4 linked regions of the Canis lupus familiaris genome follow. The protein of the gene in region 1 interacts with the protein of each later gene in a pairwise test. Links are inferred from orthologs where the notes say so. Each region holds a gene or a part of one and is shown on either strand. Other genes may lie near its edges.

What was found. The genes of interacting proteins can lie anywhere in the genome.
Region 2: the proteins of FMR1 (region 1) and PICK1 interact in a two-hybrid assay, tested with the Homo sapiens proteins (2 studies listed by BioGRID and IntAct). The link is inferred for Canis lupus familiaris from reciprocal best matches to the Homo sapiens genes FMR1 and PICK1.
Region 3: the proteins of FMR1 (region 1) and NUFIP1 interact in a two-hybrid assay, tested with the Homo sapiens proteins (2 studies listed by BioGRID). The link is inferred for Canis lupus familiaris from reciprocal best matches to the Homo sapiens genes FMR1 and NUFIP1.
Region 4: the proteins of FMR1 (region 1) and CYFIP2 interact in a two-hybrid assay, tested with the Homo sapiens proteins (2 studies listed by BioGRID and IntAct). The link is inferred for Canis lupus familiaris from reciprocal best matches to the Homo sapiens genes FMR1 and CYFIP2.

What each region holds. Positions count from the first base shown.
Region 1 is NC_049260.1:117,389,607-117,393,621, forward strand, and holds part of FMR1 (synaptic functional regulator FMR1), read left to right. Parts: coding exon 1-166; intron 167-887; coding exon of another isoform or gene 888-1,075; exon of another isoform or gene 1,076-1,716; coding exon 1,717-1,899; intron 1,900-2,370; coding exon 2,371-2,453; intron 2,454-4,015.
Region 2 is NC_049231.1:27,611,768-27,616,484, reverse strand, and holds the start of PICK1 (PRKCA-binding protein), read left to right. Parts: upstream 1-1,687; 5' UTR 1,688-2,090; intron 2,091-2,250; 5' UTR 2,251-2,307; coding exon 2,308-2,348; intron 2,349-3,443; coding exon 3,444-3,555; intron 3,556-4,717. UniProt on the Homo sapiens protein: Probable adapter protein that bind to and organize the subcellular localization of a variety of membrane proteins containing some PDZ recognition sequence.
Region 3 is NC_049243.1:6,004,797-6,009,327, forward strand, and holds the start of NUFIP1 (nuclear fragile X mental retardation-interacting protein 1), read left to right. Parts: upstream 1-1,501; 5' UTR 1,502-1,549; coding exon 1,550-1,952; intron 1,953-4,288; coding exon 4,289-4,371; intron 4,372-4,531. Other genes in the region: GPALPP1 (GPALPP motifs-containing protein 1), read right to left, coding at 1,232-1,322. UniProt on the Homo sapiens protein: Binds RNA.
Region 4 is NC_049225.1:53,777,277-53,782,071, reverse strand, and holds the start of CYFIP2 (cytoplasmic FMR1-interacting protein 2), read left to right. Parts: upstream 1-1,765; 5' UTR 1,766-1,872; intron 1,873-4,795. UniProt on the Homo sapiens protein: Involved in T-cell adhesion and p53/TP53-dependent induction of apoptosis. Does not bind RNA. As component of the WAVE1 complex, required for BDNF-NTRK2 endocytic trafficking and signaling from early endosomes.

The DNA.
Region 1 (4,015 bases):
CAAATTGATGAGCAGTTGCGACAGATTGGAGCTAGTTCTAGACCACCACCAAATCGTACAGATAAGGAAAAAGGCTATGTGACTGATGATGGTCAAGGAATGGGTCGAGGTAGTAGACCTTACAGAAATAGGGGGCACGGCAGACGCGGTCCTGGATATACTTCAGGTACAAACTAAGCATTTTACTCAGTAACTTTATCTGTTCCTAGACTTAATAGCTGCTAATCTCTAATATTCATTAGAACCCCATTATAACGGTTTCTCACTACATGGTTTCCGATTCACAGTGGGTCAAATTGTGTTGCAAGAGACATATAGAGTTAAAACATGATAATAACACACAGAGTTTACAGGGCAGGTGTGAGTTCTGTCCACGTTCTGACTGGGGATAAATCTGCTTAAGCCCTTGTGTGTTGATGACTTTCTTAAGGCCTTTCCTGATTTTATTACTGTATAGCCAAAATTTTTTTCATTTGTGTACTGTGGCTCATTTTTTTGTCAGGCATGTGCTGGTCATACTTGCTGGATGGACTGTGTAAATCAGGGCTCTGCATCCTATGGCTCATAAGGTGATTTTGAGTGTCATGGCCAAAGTCAGCCCCAGGCACAGTCAAGAAGTAGGCAAAGCTTCTCTTTGCCTTCCCAGCTTTTCTGTCAGTGCTTCTTTCTTCTCTCCCAGTACCTTCCATTGAACACTGTCCCCACCTGCCAGTTCCTACTGTCTTTCTTGCTCAACTGTGTATCTACTATGTAACTTGCTAATGATGGTATAAGGTATAATCCATCTCACAAATATTTGCATTTCAAAAAGGAACTCTTTAAGATGGAAAAGCCTTCAAGATCCACAGGAAAGAAGCTATAATGGTGAAGCTATAATTGGTCATTAGCTCCAACAGAGGAAGAGAGAGAGGTAGTAGAGTTGATATTCTGGAGTGGGGGAGAGAGACACCTACTCCTAAGGCCAACCTTGAACCTAACCCCTAACCCCTCTCCCAACAGTCTGTTCTTTTTGCTGTTGAAGTCCCACCTCACCATAGAGCTCTATTCCCCCACTCCCATCCCCCTATATCATTAACCCACCCCCCTATGCATAATGAGTTTATCTTAATAATTCCTTTATTAATGATAAATTATTTCAGTGGGAGTGGGAGGGAAGGTTGTGGACCAAGCATCAGGCAAGCCTATCCCCTTTCAGCTAAATTCAATCCCTCATCCCACGAAAGACCCTTCGCTGACACAGTTGCCATGGTGGCCTTTGCCACCCTCTCAGAGGTGACCAAAATGTATGCATTCCCCTCTGTCCCTGGGCCAAACCTTGTTAAAAGGAACTCTCTTTATAGAGGTTTTGTTTATCAAGGTATTGCATTTAACTGTTGTAGACAACTTTTCCTCCAGAGAGCGCAGATGTTTAAAGGAGCACAGCTGTTTAATGATGTGGCATACTCAGGTTTGAACTTAGATGGCTAATAAAATACCTTTTATTTTTTTTTAACGAGAACCAAAAACATTTAAAATCAAAATTACCTCAAATATTGTGAAACCCTTCATTTTGAATTTAAGATAATTTGTTTTACAAAATGGAAGGTGATAATACTCTTTGGGCTTGTAAAATTGGGAAGAATATTGGATTGCCCCTGAAACGTCTCTGGAAGCTTCTGTTAACCTAACTTTTTTTTTTAAGTCGGACAACGGTATATAACTTTTAACTCTTGATAGGAACTAATTCTGAAGCATCAAATGCTTCTGAAACAGAATCTGACCACAGAGACGAACTCAGTGATTGGTCATTAGCTCCAACAGAGGAAGAGAGGGAGAACTTTCTGCGCAGAGGAGACGGACGGCGACGTGGTGGTGGAGGAAGAGGACAGGGAGGAAGAGGACGTGGAGGCGGCTTCAAAGGTACAGAGGTGTTCTTTTCTAATAATAAAAGGTGAATTTTAACAACTGTCTGAAGTCCTGTGAAAGATCGTGGTGATTCAAGGACGTATTACTAAAACCCTCTTTTCCTGTTATATACTGGTCACCAGAGGAAAGGCTCAGCAGTAATCAACAGAACATTAGCCTTTCCATGGTATGTGTAGAATACACAAATAAACACTGATGACTAGTTCAGCTTCTTTGGGGATTCTATGCATAACCTGTGATCATTAGCTCAGGCTGACTGTAACATAATTGATGCAGAATTGTAATGCCTATTTTCTCCTGCTTGGTACCATGCTAGATTTCTGAGCATTATGTACCTGGAATCACTAGATTGTTGATTATATTTTAGATTCTGTGCTCTAAATAAGTTGAGAATGTGGGAATAAAGAACTTCCAGTAAGCACGTCAGAATCAGTAACTGTTGAATGTCTTAAAAATGACCTATAGGAAATGACGATCACTCCCGAACAGATAATCGCCCGCGTAATCCAAGAGAGGCTAAAGGAAGAACAGCTGATGGATCCCTCCAGGTAAACCTGTGTGCCACTTTTCATCTAAATTATTTGAATTACTGTAGTTTGAGACTTACAAGTTTATTTTAATTTTTAAACATATTCAAAAGTTGTAAAATTGGTATATGTGAAAGATTTTCAACATTACATTGTGGGCAATCCTAGTTTTTCATGACAAGTATACAAAGATTTCCCTAGAGAATATGCGGTCTTAAGCATTTGTGAAGACTTTGACAGCTCATCAGGACTTAGTTCCAAGTTGGTGGTTCTCCCCGAATTCCCTGAAGAAAAGGGACATCCTGGAATATACTGAGAGAGAGAGACCTCAGTAAACCCTGTTGATCCCTCTTCCCCTTAGTTGCAGAGATAGGGTGATCTCTTTGAGTGGAAAGTAAGGAAAAGAAGGTGTCTATCTCATAGGTAATATGAGAGGGCTGATGATGCTCTCAGCTAGTACATGCTGAATCAGCCAGCTGTTTGTTTATAACCAGTCTCTATTCTGGGAATCCCATTTCAGTTGGTTATGACCTATGCTGACCCCATTGTTAAATAATTTTAAAATTACCCCTGGGGGATGTCGGACACCGTTGCTAAGTGGTTTGTGTGTGTTGTGTTATCTCATTTAATCTTTCAGCAGCCCCTGAGGTAAGTAGTTTTATTTTTCTATTCTTTAGGTGAGTAAACTGAAGCTTTTAGAAAGATTCAGTCCTTTGTCTGTGGTCACATAGTGAGCATACATATAGTAGAGTGATATTTGAGCCCTGGTGTCTGATTCCCAGAACCCATAGTCTCCTCTGCTCCTTTAACTCTCAGTTCTTAGTCTAAGTAGTTAGGGTTCCTTACTGACTACAGATTGGTTTGGGACCAACACCAACATTAGTGGGATGCTTTTTAAGAGCAGAAACTTCATGACAGAATATTCCTTAGGAGTCATAGCAATTGTAAGTAAGTGTTAACTATTGGCAAGTTCCCAAGGAATAGAAAAGACCTTAGATTGAGATAAAGAGATGATGAAATGATGTACATATGTGTGCTTTACAAAGATGTAAGGCATTTATCTGTTGGCCTTGTAATTCCCCACTTAAAGTGTGTCCCATGAATTTGGCAATCTGGTCATATTGGTTAAAAGGATGCGTGTTCATAATTATATTTATAATTAAAACAGGACATCAAATAAAAAGGTTGTATTTTCTGTGTAGGAGAATAGATCCAAGTTAGAGCACTAAATCCTTGACAGCCAAACATTTAAAACATACACTGACCTCTCTCTCTCTCTCTCTCTCTCTCTCTCTCTCTCTTTGTGTCTCTCATGAATAAATAAATAAAATCTTTTAAAAAAAAACATACACTGAGGGATGCCTGGGTGGCTCAGTGGTTGAGCCTCTGCCTTTGGCTCAGGGCGTGATCCTGGGATCTAGTCCCACATTGGGTTCCCTGCAGGGAGCCTCCTTCTCCCTCTGCCTATGCCTCTGCCTCTGCGTCTCGTGTATAAGTAAATAAAAATCCTTAAAATAAATAAACACACTGAGACACCCAACATGTGAACACACTTTGAAATTACAGCAAACCATTTTGAGATA
Region 2 (4,717 bases), on another chromosome or scaffold:
ATTAGTGGGAAAATATTACAAACCACTTCATCAGTGGAGGGCGTCTCCTGGGTCAACTCCTGGGTCTCCCTAGTAGCAGGGAAACCTGTCCCAGCCAATTAAGGGGGTGAGGTTTGGACCATGAATTTGAGGGGAAATAAAGGTCAAATAACTTGTTCTCTCACCAGAGTAAGCACTTCTTATCTTTCCAGGCAGAAAGTCCCTCCCGAGGTCGGGGGCAGATCTTATTCTCTGTACAAGCAGGCCCCGGAGACATGGGGCTTGGCTCCAGAACACCGCAATAAAGCAAATGTCCCAATCAGGCAGGTCAGATGGACCTCTTCATCTTGACCTTCACAAGTACCTGTTGGGAGGATCATTTTCCCCTGGTCTATGGATTTCTGAAGCTCAGAGCCAGGCAGTGACTTACCCAAGATCACCCAGTTATAAAATGGCAGAACATGGGCTTGAGCTAAGAGTCATGGGTGGAGGAGTCACAGTTCCTGTTAAAGTGTCTGGCTTTGGAGGCTGGTGTCGTTTTCTTCTTCTTCTTCTTCTTCTTCTTCTTCTTCTTCTTCTTCTTCTTCTTCTTCTTCTTCTTCTTCTTCTTCTTCTTAAAGATTTATTTATTTTGAGAGAGAGAGAGAGAGAACAAGACAGCACATGTGGGAGGGGAAGGGTCAGAGGGAGAGAGAGAATCTCAAGCAGACTTTGAGTTGAGCAAGGAGCCAGAGGCGGGGCTCTATCCCATGACCGTGAGATCATGACCTGAGTGGAAATCAAGAATCAGATGCTTAGCCAACTAAGACATCCAAGTGCCCCAGTTGCTGCTTTTTAAAATTAAAATCCTGGCCTGAACAGGGTTTGGAAGTTCCAGCCCTAGCTCTGCCACTGACTGTGAGACGAGGAGAAGCTGCTTCTCTGTGCCTGTTTCCTTACCTGCACAATGTGGCTGACAACCCATGTCCTCCTCTCACAGGGTCATGGTGAACTCTGAGGCCCTGTGAGTCACCTGAGCTGCAGAGCAGTGGGTACATGGAAAGGTCCCCGCTACTGTGGCATTCTGCACATTTACCGGGACTCCGATGGGCTTCCTAAAGAGGGGGTGCGGGGTGGGGTGGGGCTCCTTCCTCCGCCGCCCCTGGAAGGAAGCTGTGATCCTCCGTGGGCCTCAGGGGGGCTGCTCCTCAGGACTAAAGACAGAGATGAGGTGTGAGGAGTCTCTCACCAAATACCATAGAAAGCATCTGCCTCAGTGCTCTTTGTTTGCATACGGCGAAAGGGGGCACATAAAGGCAACGGCAGGTAACTTGCCCAATCTGTTAACAGAGCCACTGAATACAAGTGTGCAGGCGTTAAAGGGGCGCTGCACTAGGTGGCAGGAGTCTCAGGGTCAAGATCTTGACCTTATACCAACGGTGGGCGGCTCTGGACAAAATCTCTTCTCTTTTTTGGCAGTTTCCTGGTCGCAGACTGAGAGTAGCCTCGAAGGGTCCTTCCAGTTCGGAGGCTGACATCCTAGTAGAGGAGACTCAGCACCCTAGGCCAAGGTGCTAAAAACATGAAAAGGTTTGCATTCCACTGAACTTCGCCGGAAGCCTCCGCGCCCAAGGATGCTTCCGTTGCCACGGCAACCGCTCGGCCGGCGTGGTCCCCGGCGTCCCGCGGAGGAAGCTGGGAAGAGCCCTGCCCTCACCAAGATGGCGGCGGCCACGGGGCAGAGGGCGGGGTTGAGCGTCGTCGGCCCTTCCAGACCTTTCCTCTGTTTCCGCTTTCTCGTGCTAACGGCGAGCTTCCGTCAATACTTGGGCTCTTTTCTGGCTCTGGGAGAGCCCGGAGCCAGGGAGGGAGGGTTGTCTGCAAGAACTGGGGCCAATACCCGGGTGGTCAGGTAGGCGGGACTTCCGCGTAAAAGAGGAAGTGACGCGACAGTCGCGGCCGCCGACAGGTGGAACGGCAGGTGGCTTCAGGTGCCAGCCTGGCCTGGACCCGGCTGTGGGACCGACGCTTCCGGTGAGCGACAGAGGTGGCTCCCAAGGGCCTGGAGATCCGTGGGGCGGGCTCTGGGGTGTGAGCTCACCGCCCTGGCCTGGAACTCCCCCCTCTACCTAGTAAGAATCCCGTCCCTTCCCGCCCCCCAACCTCGGGGACTACCCCCACCGTCCAGAGGGACAGGGGAGGGTCCGGCTCCCCCCGTATCCCCCGGGTGGAGGTTGACATCTAGGCACTTCGGGTCCCTGAACCCTACGCTCTTTTCTCTCCCTGGTCCAGTTCCCCATTCCCCTGCCGAGCTGGGCAGTCAGCCAGCCCACCTCAACTCTCGGAACCATGTTTGCAGACTTGGATTATGACATCGAGGAGGATAAACTGTGAGTATTTTGTTCCTTCCAAGTCCCAGGAATGCACGAGCCCCGGGGCCTCCAGATCCCCAGACTTCCCAGCTCCACAGACCCTTGCTTCTCAGCGGGGGTTAAGTAGGTCTTGTTCTATAGTAGAAATGGACCCTGCCCTTCCAGGAGCTCACCATCTGTAGGGGGCTGCGGACACCCTAGCAGATGACAAGTCAGGGCCACGTGGGTACTAATGGAGAATGGCCTGGCTACAAGGAGAGAGCAGAGGAGCAGTCTCTTGATTGGGGTGTTCAGGGAAGGCTTCAAAAAGGAGGTGGCAGTGGAGCCAGGTTTTGAAGGTGAATGGGAGTATTGTAAACATACTTTCCTTCCCAGTATAGGTAATTAGTAGGACAGATTTTCAGAAATTGTTAGTCTCTCAACTAAAATCTGCCCTCCATCAGTCCACTGCCTGCATCCTCAGCACTTAGTATGGTGCTCGACTCACCATCAGTAGGTTGCTGGTTTGTTGAATGAATAAGTGAATGGAGGCAAATATTTACAGCAGAACATAAACAAGTGCTGGTTTATACTGAAAATTGAGAGGTAATTGAGCAGAGCAACTGAGAGATGGGTGATGGATAATTTAAGAGGAGAAGGCTTCCTGGAGCAAGTGGCCATAATGTTCCACCTGTGCCTGAGAAGGTGAGAAGGACAGAGTCTGGATCAGGCCTCAGAGACAGGATGAAGGAGAGGGAAGGGGGAATCTGTTTTCATGGAGTGCCTGCTCTGGGCTGGACTGGTGTTAAGTGCCTTTCGTGTGCTTTCTTATAAGAATTTTCACCAAGTAGCAAGCCATTTCCATCCATACCATTTTATGGCTGAGGGAACTGAGATGCACAGAGGTGACTTACTTATCCAAGTCCTGTAGATGGTCAGTGGCAGAGCCGGGATCTGATCCTGCATCTGCAGGACTCCTAAGAGCTGCACATGTGCCAGCGCCAGACACTGTCTTTTTGGCCAATTGAGAAAAGAAAAAGCTGAGCAGCACTTGGAGCCTCTCAGGGGCTTCCTTCCTCGTCCCCTTTAAGGAATCCTCCCAGGAGATTCGGCCACATGTGCTTCTCTTTCTAGTGGAATCCCTACTGTGCCTGGGAAGGTGACCCTACAGAAGGATGCTCAGAACCTGATCGGGATCAGCATCGGAGGAGGGGCCCAGTACTGCCCCTGCCTCTATATTGTCCAGGTACTGGGTGCTTTGGAGGTGGGGGTGAGGTCCTAGAAGGGGTGAGCCACCTCCCTCCCCTGGGGCAGGCTTATTTTCCTGACTGCGGAGCTGAGGCCTGAACTCCTCAGAGAGGCCTTCCCGGGCATGCCCCTCAGTAGATGCACCCTGTTCTCTGCTGTATCAATGCGCTCCTTCCCTTCTCAGCTCCGCTCACCATCTGTAATCATGGGTTTGCCCATTCGTCGTCCTCTATCTCACTGCTAGCCAGACACCACACTGTGAGGACAGGATCTCAGCCTGCTTTTTCACTGCTGTCAGCACCAAGTACAACATGTGTCATAGGGTCAAATGCACAAAACTGTCGGCCTGGGGTACTGGTGCAAGTGGAATGTGAATTTTAGTGGAAAGTCTGCAAGTCCATGGGATGCTAGTGGCCTGGTGAACCCAAATGTAAGCCTCCCTGCTCAGCAGCGAGTTACTTGGTAAGCTCTCTGGGCCTCAGCTTCCTCATCTGGCAAGTGAGAGTGTAAAATGTGTAGGTCACTGTGAGGATTAACCAGAATGCCCCAAACATTGCCCGGCATTTAATAAATACGAAGTAGAAGATGTTGTTTTGTACCTAGCAGTTGTTCATGTCCCCGAGACACTCTGCCAGTGGTACTGAACATTTTTGTGGTTCTTGTAGATGAAGCTGCTTTGGTGACATTCTATCAGCTGTGACTCTGAGCAGTGGGGACAGTTTACTTTGTGACGGGTCAGTCACTGGTTTTTCTGTAGGCTCCAAAGGAAGCTTGCCACAGACATAAATGTGACCTGCCTTCTACTCTGTTCCCACTTTCTCAGCTCAGTAGCCATTGGTGGCAGATGGGAAACTGCTGTCTCTCTGAGAATCTTGCAAAAGAGTCACTTTTGGGCCTTGAGGACAGAGATTCCCGGGATGTAGCCTGGTCTACTCTGGGTGCTGCCTTCACGAGCTTTTGGCCTCCTCTGACCCAGGAGGTATTAGGGAGGCCTTGCCCAGGCCTGGGCCCCCCTGCTACATGCCTGCTTGGTCCCTGCCACCTCCCCCTTCTCACCCATTGGGGGCTGGGTTTGTGTAGAACAAACTACGGTTATAAAATAATAGAATTTGGTTTTTAAAAATTGAATTTTTTTTATCAAAGCGTATCTGACTTGCTCT
Region 3 (4,531 bases), on another chromosome or scaffold:
TAAAATCTTGAAAAGAAAAGAAAAGAGAAGAGAAGAGAAGAGAAGAGAAGAGAAGAGAAGAGAAGAGAAGAGAAGAGAAGAGAAGAGAAGAGAAAAGAAAAGAAAAGAAAAACGAAAAGAAAAGAAACGAAACGAGAGGGTTACTCTTTCGGCTTTACTCTTTTCCAATTTTGGTGTCAAAACCAGTCTGCAAATTAGAACAAACATTAAAGGAGATAAATAGGAAGCGTTTATTTGGCAAATACGAAGTGCCCACTCTGTGTGTTACAGCGAGAGGATCCTACTGTAAACGGTGCAGGAAGATACGACACAAGTCATTTTTTAAAAGTGTGTTAAGGGGAATCCCCGGGTGGCTCAGCGGTTTAGCACCCGCCTTTGACCCAGGGCGTGATCCTGGGGACCCGGGATCGACTCCCACGTCGGGCTCTCTGCATGGGGCCTGCTTCTCCCTCTGCCTGTGTCTCTGCATCTCTATCTACATCTCTGTCTCTCATGACACATAAATAAATAAAATCTTTAAAAAAAATTAAGTAGAAGAAAACCCCGTGGGGAGGAAAAAAAATAAAAAAAGGAAGGCGTGTCAATTCTTGGGAGAGTTTGGAAAAGCTTCCCTGAGGCCTTCGCTGACATTCACGCTGGGCCTTGGAGATCGGGGTAGGAGTTTGGCGGAGAGTGTCAAGAAGCCGAGCGAGGCCGGAAAGAGCCTAGAGAAACTCGGGCCTGGTTTCAGCACTGGACTGTGCGTGTCGGATTCAACGACAGGAACAGGGGCTAGGAGGGCGGGTGGGAGCATCTTCTGCAGAGCATCTTCTGCAAGGGCCCGGGAAGGCAAAAGGGCACGGAGGTTAGGAGCCCCGGCGGTCGGGCCTCGGGGTCCCCGTGTGTGGCATGGAAATAATAACAATCTTACTTCCTAACGATATCATCTTACACATATAATAACCACCTTACGCAGTCGCTAGGAGGATGAAGCGACAGTGTGTACCGAACGTCAGCGGAGGCTCCAGCCCATCAGGAGCTAAATAAGACACCATCGTCGTAACGATTCCCAGCATCTCCCCGCCCCCCCGCCACCCACCCCTCCACTTCCCGCTACCGCTGGAGAAGCCAGGTTAGCTGCGGTCGGCCGCGCCCACTTGCCCCTGCTCCGCCCTTCGAGGCCTCGGACGTCTCTTCACGGCGGGCCCGGGAAGGGGCGGGCAGGCGGGCAGCGTCAGGCGCCGCCGCTCACCGGGGCTGCGGTCTCGCTCCTCCTCCTCCTCCGCTGTCCCGCGAGCCTTGAAGCCGGGCGGCAGCGCCGGCCCGATCAGATCCCTCGCCATCCGCGGGGGCGGACACCGTCCGGCCCTACGACTCTAACCACACAGACTCCCGTCGGCCAAGAGGCAGCCCCGGCTCCTCGCGCCGCACTTGCCGCCCGCCTTTTTCCGGCGCCTGCCGATGACGTAGCAACCTGTGGTTGGCGGAGCCGCGCAAGTCGCGAAAGGCGGAAGTGACGCCTAAAGCCCGTTCCGCATTCGCACGCTCGGCTCGCTGCCTGGCGGGAGGCATGGCTGAGCCGGCTAGCGATTCCGTGGCTTCTGCGGGGTGGTTTCCGTCGTCCGAGCTGACCCCGGCGCTGGGGCCTCTGAGCGACCCTGCCTCGCTGCGGGACAACTGGATGCTCTGGGCAATGCTGCCGCCGCCACCGCCGCCTTCGTCGTCGCCTTCTCTGGGAGGGTCGGAGCCTTCCTCGGAGGGGCGGCCCTCCCGGGAGGCCCAGGCGCTCCCCGAGGCGCCCCCTCCCTTCGACGCCCAGATTCTCCCCGGGGCGCAGCCTCCCTTCGACGCCCAGTACCCCCTTGATGCTCAGCCTCCCCTCAACGGCCAGCCGTCCTGGAACTTCCAGGCTTCGACATCATGGTACTGGAGACAGTCGTCTGGTGCTTTTCGGGGGCATCAGAAGACTCCGGGTAGGCTGTTACCCCCGCCCCCTCCTTACCACCCTTTACTTTCCTTTTCTTCTCCCCTTCCTTCCTCTCCCACTTTCCCCTTTTTCCTCTTCTCTACTTCTGATTCTGTCCTGCAGTCCTGGAGTCTGTCTGCTCATCAACGTCTCACAATTTGTCGGACAGTAATGTTTTCCCCGCCTATTCAGTCCGGTTCAGGAGTTATTTATTTTTTCTTTTTAAAGATTTTGTTTATTTATTCATGAGACACACACACACACACACACACACACACACACACACACAGAGGCAGAGACACAGGCAGAGGGAGAAGCAGGCTCCATGCAGGGAGCCCGACGTGGGACTCGATCCCGGGTCTCCAGAGTCACGCCCTGGGTCAAAGGCAGGCGCTAAACCGCTGAGCCACCTGGGCATTCCCTGTTCAGGACTTATTTATCGAATTCCAGCAGTGTACCAGGAACTGGGGATATAGCAGTGATCGAAATATAACAAAAATCCTTACCTTTATGGAGCTTCACGTTTCCTGGTGGAGGAAGACGGAATAAAGCAGTGTGTATTAGAAGGCAGTGAGGGCCATGGCGAGATAGAGAGCCAAAGGGGAATGATAGGGAGTGCAGTTTTAAGTGTCAGTCGTTTTTTTTTTTTTTTTAAAGAATAAATAAAATAAGTGTCAGTCGTAAAGAGTCAGCTTCGGAGCAAAGGCTACAGGGAGGTGAGGGATACATTTGTGGATGACATCTGGGGGAATAGGGATGCAGGCAGAATGAAGTGCAAGTGCAAAGACTTGGAGGCGGGAGCTGTAGATCAGAACCGAAGCCAAGAGGAACAAGCCTGGGGACAGAACTGTAGAAGATCGGGGAAGAGGGCCGACCTGCTAGGGCCTTGTAGACAGTGGGACTTTGACTTTTTGCTCTTGTGATAGGGGGTGGTGCAAGGGAGTGACGTGACTTGATTTACATTTTAGAAGGATTAATGTGGCTGCTAATGGTTATTGATCTAAAGGGAAAGGAGTTAGGAAGGTATTGGAGTTACCCAAGTGAGAGATACTGGGGACTCGGGCCACCAGGGTGGAGCTCGGGGGATGGATGAAAGTGTTGGATTCTAGATCTGTTTGGAGGGGAGGGAAGGACCAACACGGTTTGCTCCAGGATCAGATGTAAGATGTGAGGTCAAGACAAGAATAACAAAGCCCCCGCCCCCCACCCCCCCAACAAGTGGAAGGATGGGAATGGAACAGATTTGGAAGGAAGACCCGGGAGTTGAGCTTGGAATATGTTGGTGTCAAATGGAGATATCGAATAGGCTGTTAGGTTGTACTTTTCAGGGGAGATTGGTGTCTGGAGCTGTGAATTTGGGTGTCATCAGCATATAGGTCATAGTTAAAGCCACAAGATTGTTCACTTAAAACCCTTCAATTCTGCATGAGCTTTAATTTACATCAACTCGAATCCAAATCAGCGTTTACTGCTTGCCGAATGCCGGGAATATGAATGTTCTAAGACAGTCCTGAGTCCAGTGAGACGGGTTCATAAATATAAGTCACAGCACAGCATGACTGGCGATGGAGGCATGTAGAGGAATTTGGGGAAGGCTTTTGGAAGAAGCGCGTTGGGAGATGTGTAGGGTTTATGAAGAGATACTTTTTAGGTATGGGCAAAGAGGTGTGAATACAAGGGGAGTTCTGAGAACTGCTCTGTTCTAGTGTGAGTGAAGCAAAGTAAGTGGAGGGTATGGGGGAAGAGTAGGATGAGAAAATAAACTGGGATCTCATTAAAGGGCTCTGGGAAGCCATTTATAGATTTTCCAGGATTGTGACCATTGGAGGATTATTTTTGTGGTGAAAATGTGTAGAGTCTGTTGGAAGAGAGGGCTTGCGAACTAGAAGACAGTCTGGAAGCCTGTGCTAGTAATCTAGGTGAAAGATAAGGTTTCAGAGTTGGGTCTTGGCAATAAGACAGGAAAGAACGTGAGAGAAAATGTATTTCACAACTCTGTTTTCCTGCTGTAAAGTTGATGCTGAAAGTGCTGTATTGGGATTTTATTATTTACATTTCTAATGCTTGAAATAACTGTAACAAATTTTATCAGGTTTGAGTGGCCATTTCTTTCTTTACTTTGACACCTAAAGCATGTATGGACGTGTAAATTGTTACATGTAAATATGTAACAACATATTTACTTGAAAAATACTTATTTGGTAGACTAGTCTTAATCTTTGTTAATTTGAACTTCTTCTTAAAAGCGGCAGTTTTTACTCAAGTATTTGTGACATGTTAGAACAAATAAAATTTAAAAATTGTATAGTTGCAAATATTTACAGGTTTCTTTTTGTTTTTTAGTTAATCATTCTTATTTTCCACGAAAATATGATGCAAAGTTCACTGATGTCAACCTCCCTCCCAGTAGAAAACAGAAAAAAAAGGTATTTTTAAAGATATTCTTGAATGTGACACTTGGGTCCCTAAGTCACTGTTTTATTCCTTGTGTTTCTATCATAACTGTCTCAGTGTTTTGCGTCCATAATTGACACAGTGAGGCCTTAACTATAATGGGATCTTTAAGGATCTTAGCTTTAAGTAAAA
Region 4 (4,795 bases), on another chromosome or scaffold:
ATGAAGATCCAATCTCTCTTGTTACATAATCACTGACACTCAAAAAACTAAGGATCACAGTGGAAAATGAAAAATTAAACAAGGAAGGAAGGAAGGAAGGAAGGAAGGAAGGAAGGAAGGAAGGAAGGAAGGAAGGGGAGAATGAAAGCAAGCAAGCAAGAAAAGAGAAACTCAGTTCGGTTTTTAAAGCCATCCTCCACAAACACCTCCACAGCTTTCTCACAGGGAAGAAATGTGTGTGTGTACATATATATATAAGTCATCCTTTCTGAAATAGCAATTTAAATTGGAGTGAGTGATGTAACATCAAACCATAAAGGATCATGAATTCTGAGGGTTTGGGAAGTGGTGTGAGATCCATGAGGGCAAAGATTCCTCAAGTCCTTTGCCAGAGACTCCAGTAATACGCCCCTCTATAATTAGCCCCTAAATAGGAATAGCTGAGTGATTAAGTATAAATTTGTGGGCCCTGGGCAAACACTCCAGAAAGCTTCCCTTGTAACAGGACTTAATTCTTTGTATCTGTACACACTTTAAAACGTCTCGAATGCTTTCCAGTGTTTACCCTGTGAAGTAGGAAGGGCAAGCATTACCCTCACGTTATAGACACAGTGGCTTCTCAGGAACAGTGTTGAAGTGACTTGGGTAGGGGGTCTCAAGGTTGGATCTGAGGGCCCACGAGGCTGCAGTTCAGTGAGGACTGTTCCTTTGAACAGCCCTCAACGCAGAACAAGGCTTCCTGTTGCCACGCATTTTCCCTTTTGTCCATTAGGCAATTCTCCCTCAATGAAGTCGAGGCAGAGCCTCCTTAGGAGATGGCACCTTCCGGGGGTTGGCTCCAAGGAACGGAGAAGGTATTCCTTTTTTTTTTTTTTTTAATTTATTTTTTATTGGTGTTCAATTTACTAACATACAGAATAACCCCCAGTGCCCGTCACCCATTCACTCCCACCCCCCGCCCTCCTCCCCTTCCACCACCCCTAGTTCGTTTCCCAGAGTTAGCAGTCTTTACGTTCTGTCTCCCTTTCTGATATTTCCCACACGTTTCTTCCCCCTTCCCTTATATTCCCTTTCACTATTATTTATATTCCCCAAATGAATGAGAACATATAATGTTTGTCCGGAGAAGGTATTCCTGAGCAGAGGAGCGGCACTGGGGGCCAGAATCAATGGGTTGGGGCCCCCTCGCCCCAGCCTCAGCTGTATTTCCCATCACTTTGCCCGGTTCTTTCCTTCACGGCACTTCTTCCCGCTGTCAGTGCGCGTTGGCCAGGTTAATGCGTGCCCCATCTCCCCTGGTAGGCAAGAAGCTCCAAAAGGGCAGTACACCGGTGCATACTCAGCTTCTGGCACGGGGCTCGGAACAAAGTAGCTGCTCAATAAATATTAGGTAGATAAATGAGCGCTTGGAAATAGAGAGTGAGGTCGATGAGCTCCGAGCGCAGCCCAGGGCCGCCCTCCCCGCCGGCGGCAGGTGTGGCTCCCGGCGAGCGAGACCTGAGCGCAGGTGCCGCCTCCGTCCCTTACGCGGGCCGCGCGGCCGGTCGTCCTGGGGCAGGAGCCGCGCGGCAGGTCGGGCGCCCCGGGAGCCCCTCGCCGCAGCCATTTCCTGCTCTTTGTGTGACGGCGGCGGCGGCGGCGGAGGGCCGGCCCCGCGCGGGGGAGGAGCCGGAGCCGGAGCCGGGAGCCGCGAGCCGCGAGCCGGGCGCGGGGGGCGGGGCGGGGCGGGGCGGGCCCGGGGGCGGGGGCGGGGCCGAGCGCGGCGGCCGCGGGAGCCGAGCGGAGCCGGGCGGAGCGGGCAGAGCATCCTGCGCCCCGGCGCGGGGCCCCCGGCAGCCTCGGGCCGCTCGCCTGGACCTGCCGCCGACGCAGGTAAGCGGCGCGGCGCTCGCGGGCCTGGGCGCCGGCCTGGGCGCCGGGATGCTGCGGGGGACGCCGGTGCGGCCGCGAGGATGCGCGGGGGGCCGGCGCCCCTCCACCCAGCCCGAGGGGGGGCGCTCGGCGCGGCGCCCCGGCTGGCGCGGCCTGGGGGACCCGGAGCCCCTGGGGCAGGGCTGCAGGCCCCGCGCGGCCCCTGCCGGCTCCGGCCCATCCCGGCCCCGCGGCGCGGACCCGGGGCGAGGAGGCGCGGACACGCGACGCAGCTCGGGCGCGGCGGCGGCGGCGGCGGCGGCGGCGGCAGCAGCAGGTGCGCGGCCTGGGCCGAAGCCGCGGGCCGGAGACGGAGCGGCGCTGATCCCGGCCGGGAGACACCTGCGGGGGCCGCGAGCCCAGCGGCGGCGACCCCCGGAGCCCAGGTACTGCGGAGCGCCGGCCGCCGCCTCCGCCGCCTCGGCCCATCCCCTCCTCCAGGGCCAGCGAGAGGCGCGTGGGCCCGCCTGGCGGCCGCCGGGGACAGCAGCGCCCTGCGCTGGGCGCGACATGGGTGGGGCGGGGGGGCCGCCGGCGACCGGGGGTGCGGGGCTTTAGCGAGGCGGGAGGAAGCCGGACCGCTTGGAAGCCTGCGGGCCTACGCTGGCATCCTCTGCCTCCCGGCTGCCTGTGGGCGGGGGAGGACACGGGGAAGGGGACGAGTGCGCCGAGTCCTGGGGAAAAGGTTGGATTTCTCTTGAGCCCTGAAGACATCAGGAGGATCGCCTACCTGTCTGTTGTGGCTTCTGCTTTTCAGGACAGCCCGCCCCCTCGATGGATGGGTGGAAAGGAAGAGGAGGGAGTGCTCTCTGTTTAGAGGTGGGGGTGGGGACGGGGGCAGGAAGCCTGGTCACGGTCAGACAGGAGGACGGTTCTCTGTACTGCGGAGACCCTGGCAGGAAAGGACCCTGGGACTGCCCTGGCCCTCCTCAGCTCCAGGAACCTGCCTTTGACCTCTGCTTGCCTACTGTCTCCAGTTGAGCCGAAGCACTCACCTAGAGCTGATGGGCCATCTGCTCCCCTTCCAGCCAGGACAAGAAGGTGGCAGGGGTCTTTCCCAGCTAGCTCTCGGGTGCCTGTGCCTTCCTGGCATGGGTAAGGAGACTGGGGCAGTCCTGCGGGCATGAGGGACAAATCAGAGTGCTGGTTCTCATACTCCTCTTTTCTAACTCCTACCCTGTCCCTCTTAGGGCAGGTTGTCTTATCTTACTTACCCTTAGGCACTGGCCCTGTGGGAGGCCATGCCGGTAACCCTGGAGATCACAGATGTTGGAGGGCAAAATTCTAGGACCATATCCCTGGGCAGGATTGCAGAGGCCTTGGAGGCAGTTTTCTCTGTGACTCTCCCTGAGGCCTCCCATCTCCAGCTCCAGCTCCATGTTCTGTGCTTCCCCTAGTCTCCTATGTCAAAAATTATTTTCAAGAGAGGAGCCAGTGAACATGTTTATCCTTAAGAGCTAAATACAAAAGAATTTGAAATTTGATGCAGAGCAGGTCCTTTAGAAGTCGTTTAACTGGAAAGGAAACAGAGGCTGGGAGGCATTTGAATGGAAAACAAAGCTTTAAGTCAACCTATTTGCTATCTCTAATGGTGGAATTTCAGGCAGTAGACTGGAAGTGGGAATGGGGAACTGGGTAGCAATGTTGGGGAACAGTCACTGAAATGACAGTATCTAGCATCTGTCAGCAATGTTTGCTGCTGGGGCAGAAATGCCATTGGAGTGTGTGTCTGTGTAACTGTCCAGGGGTTCCTGGCACTGGAAGGTATCTGTGGTGCACCCAGTATCCACTTGGGGGAGGTGAAACTTTGCTATAGAGAGTTATTCAGTGGTACTGGCTGCCATCTGCCTGGCCAGTTACTGAGCCACAAGAAGAGTGTGTTGTTGCTTACAAAGCCAGTGCTTTGCCTAGTTCTGAACACTGAGCCTCTGGCGGGGGGCATTAGCTGTCAGCTCACTAAGCTTCGTTATTATATTTCCTGGTAAGTTCTGACCAGTTCTGTAGGCACCCAAGCCTGCCCTGTTTAGTCTCTGCTGAAAGTAGAAACTGAAAAACTTGCTTTAGCCGTTAGGCCAAGAATGGGGTATATGATCCAAGAGAGTTCAAGAGTTTTTTCTCGAATCAAATCAGAGGCTGGCCCAGAAAAGGAAGTAGGCATTTAAAATTTAAAATCTGGAAAAGGGGGGGATCCCTGGGTGGCGCAGCGGTTTAGTGCCTGTCTTTGGCCCAGGGTGTGATCCTGGGAACTCAGGATCGAATCCCGCGTTGGGCTCCCGGTGCATGGAGCCTGCTTCTCCCTCTGCCTATGTCTCTGCCTCTCTCTCTCTCTCTCTGTGTGCCTATCATAAATAAATAAAATTTAAAAAATATATATATATATCATTAAAAAAATAAATAAAAATAAAATAAAATAAAATCTGGAAAAGGGCCCCAGGAGAACACTACATGTACCCTCTGATAAATTGTGCCCTCTTGGGTGTTCAGTGGGCCTTCTCTGCTGTCATTGACCAGCAAGCTGAATGAGGTGATGAATAGGCAATGAGCTAATTAGCATTGGAAACAGCACTCCTGGAAAACAGTACAGGGCTCCAGTCCCTACATTTGAGAATCGGCCTACACTCTCAAAGAGGTTTCTTTTGGCTGCTGTTGGCCCCAGGGTTCTACCAAGAGCTTCACAAAATGGCCTTTTGTAGCCTCCATGTGGCCACCATAACAATGCATCTATTTCTTTACTAGCAAGTATTAATTATTCACTCGTAGTTGATGAAACAAGACATCAGTCACCTCATTGGAGTCTTTGTAACAGGCCTTTGGTCTTGTCCTTCTAAAGAGCAAACCCATGTCTAGGGCATAGAGGATAGACCCTGCCTTGGTAGTAGAGCAT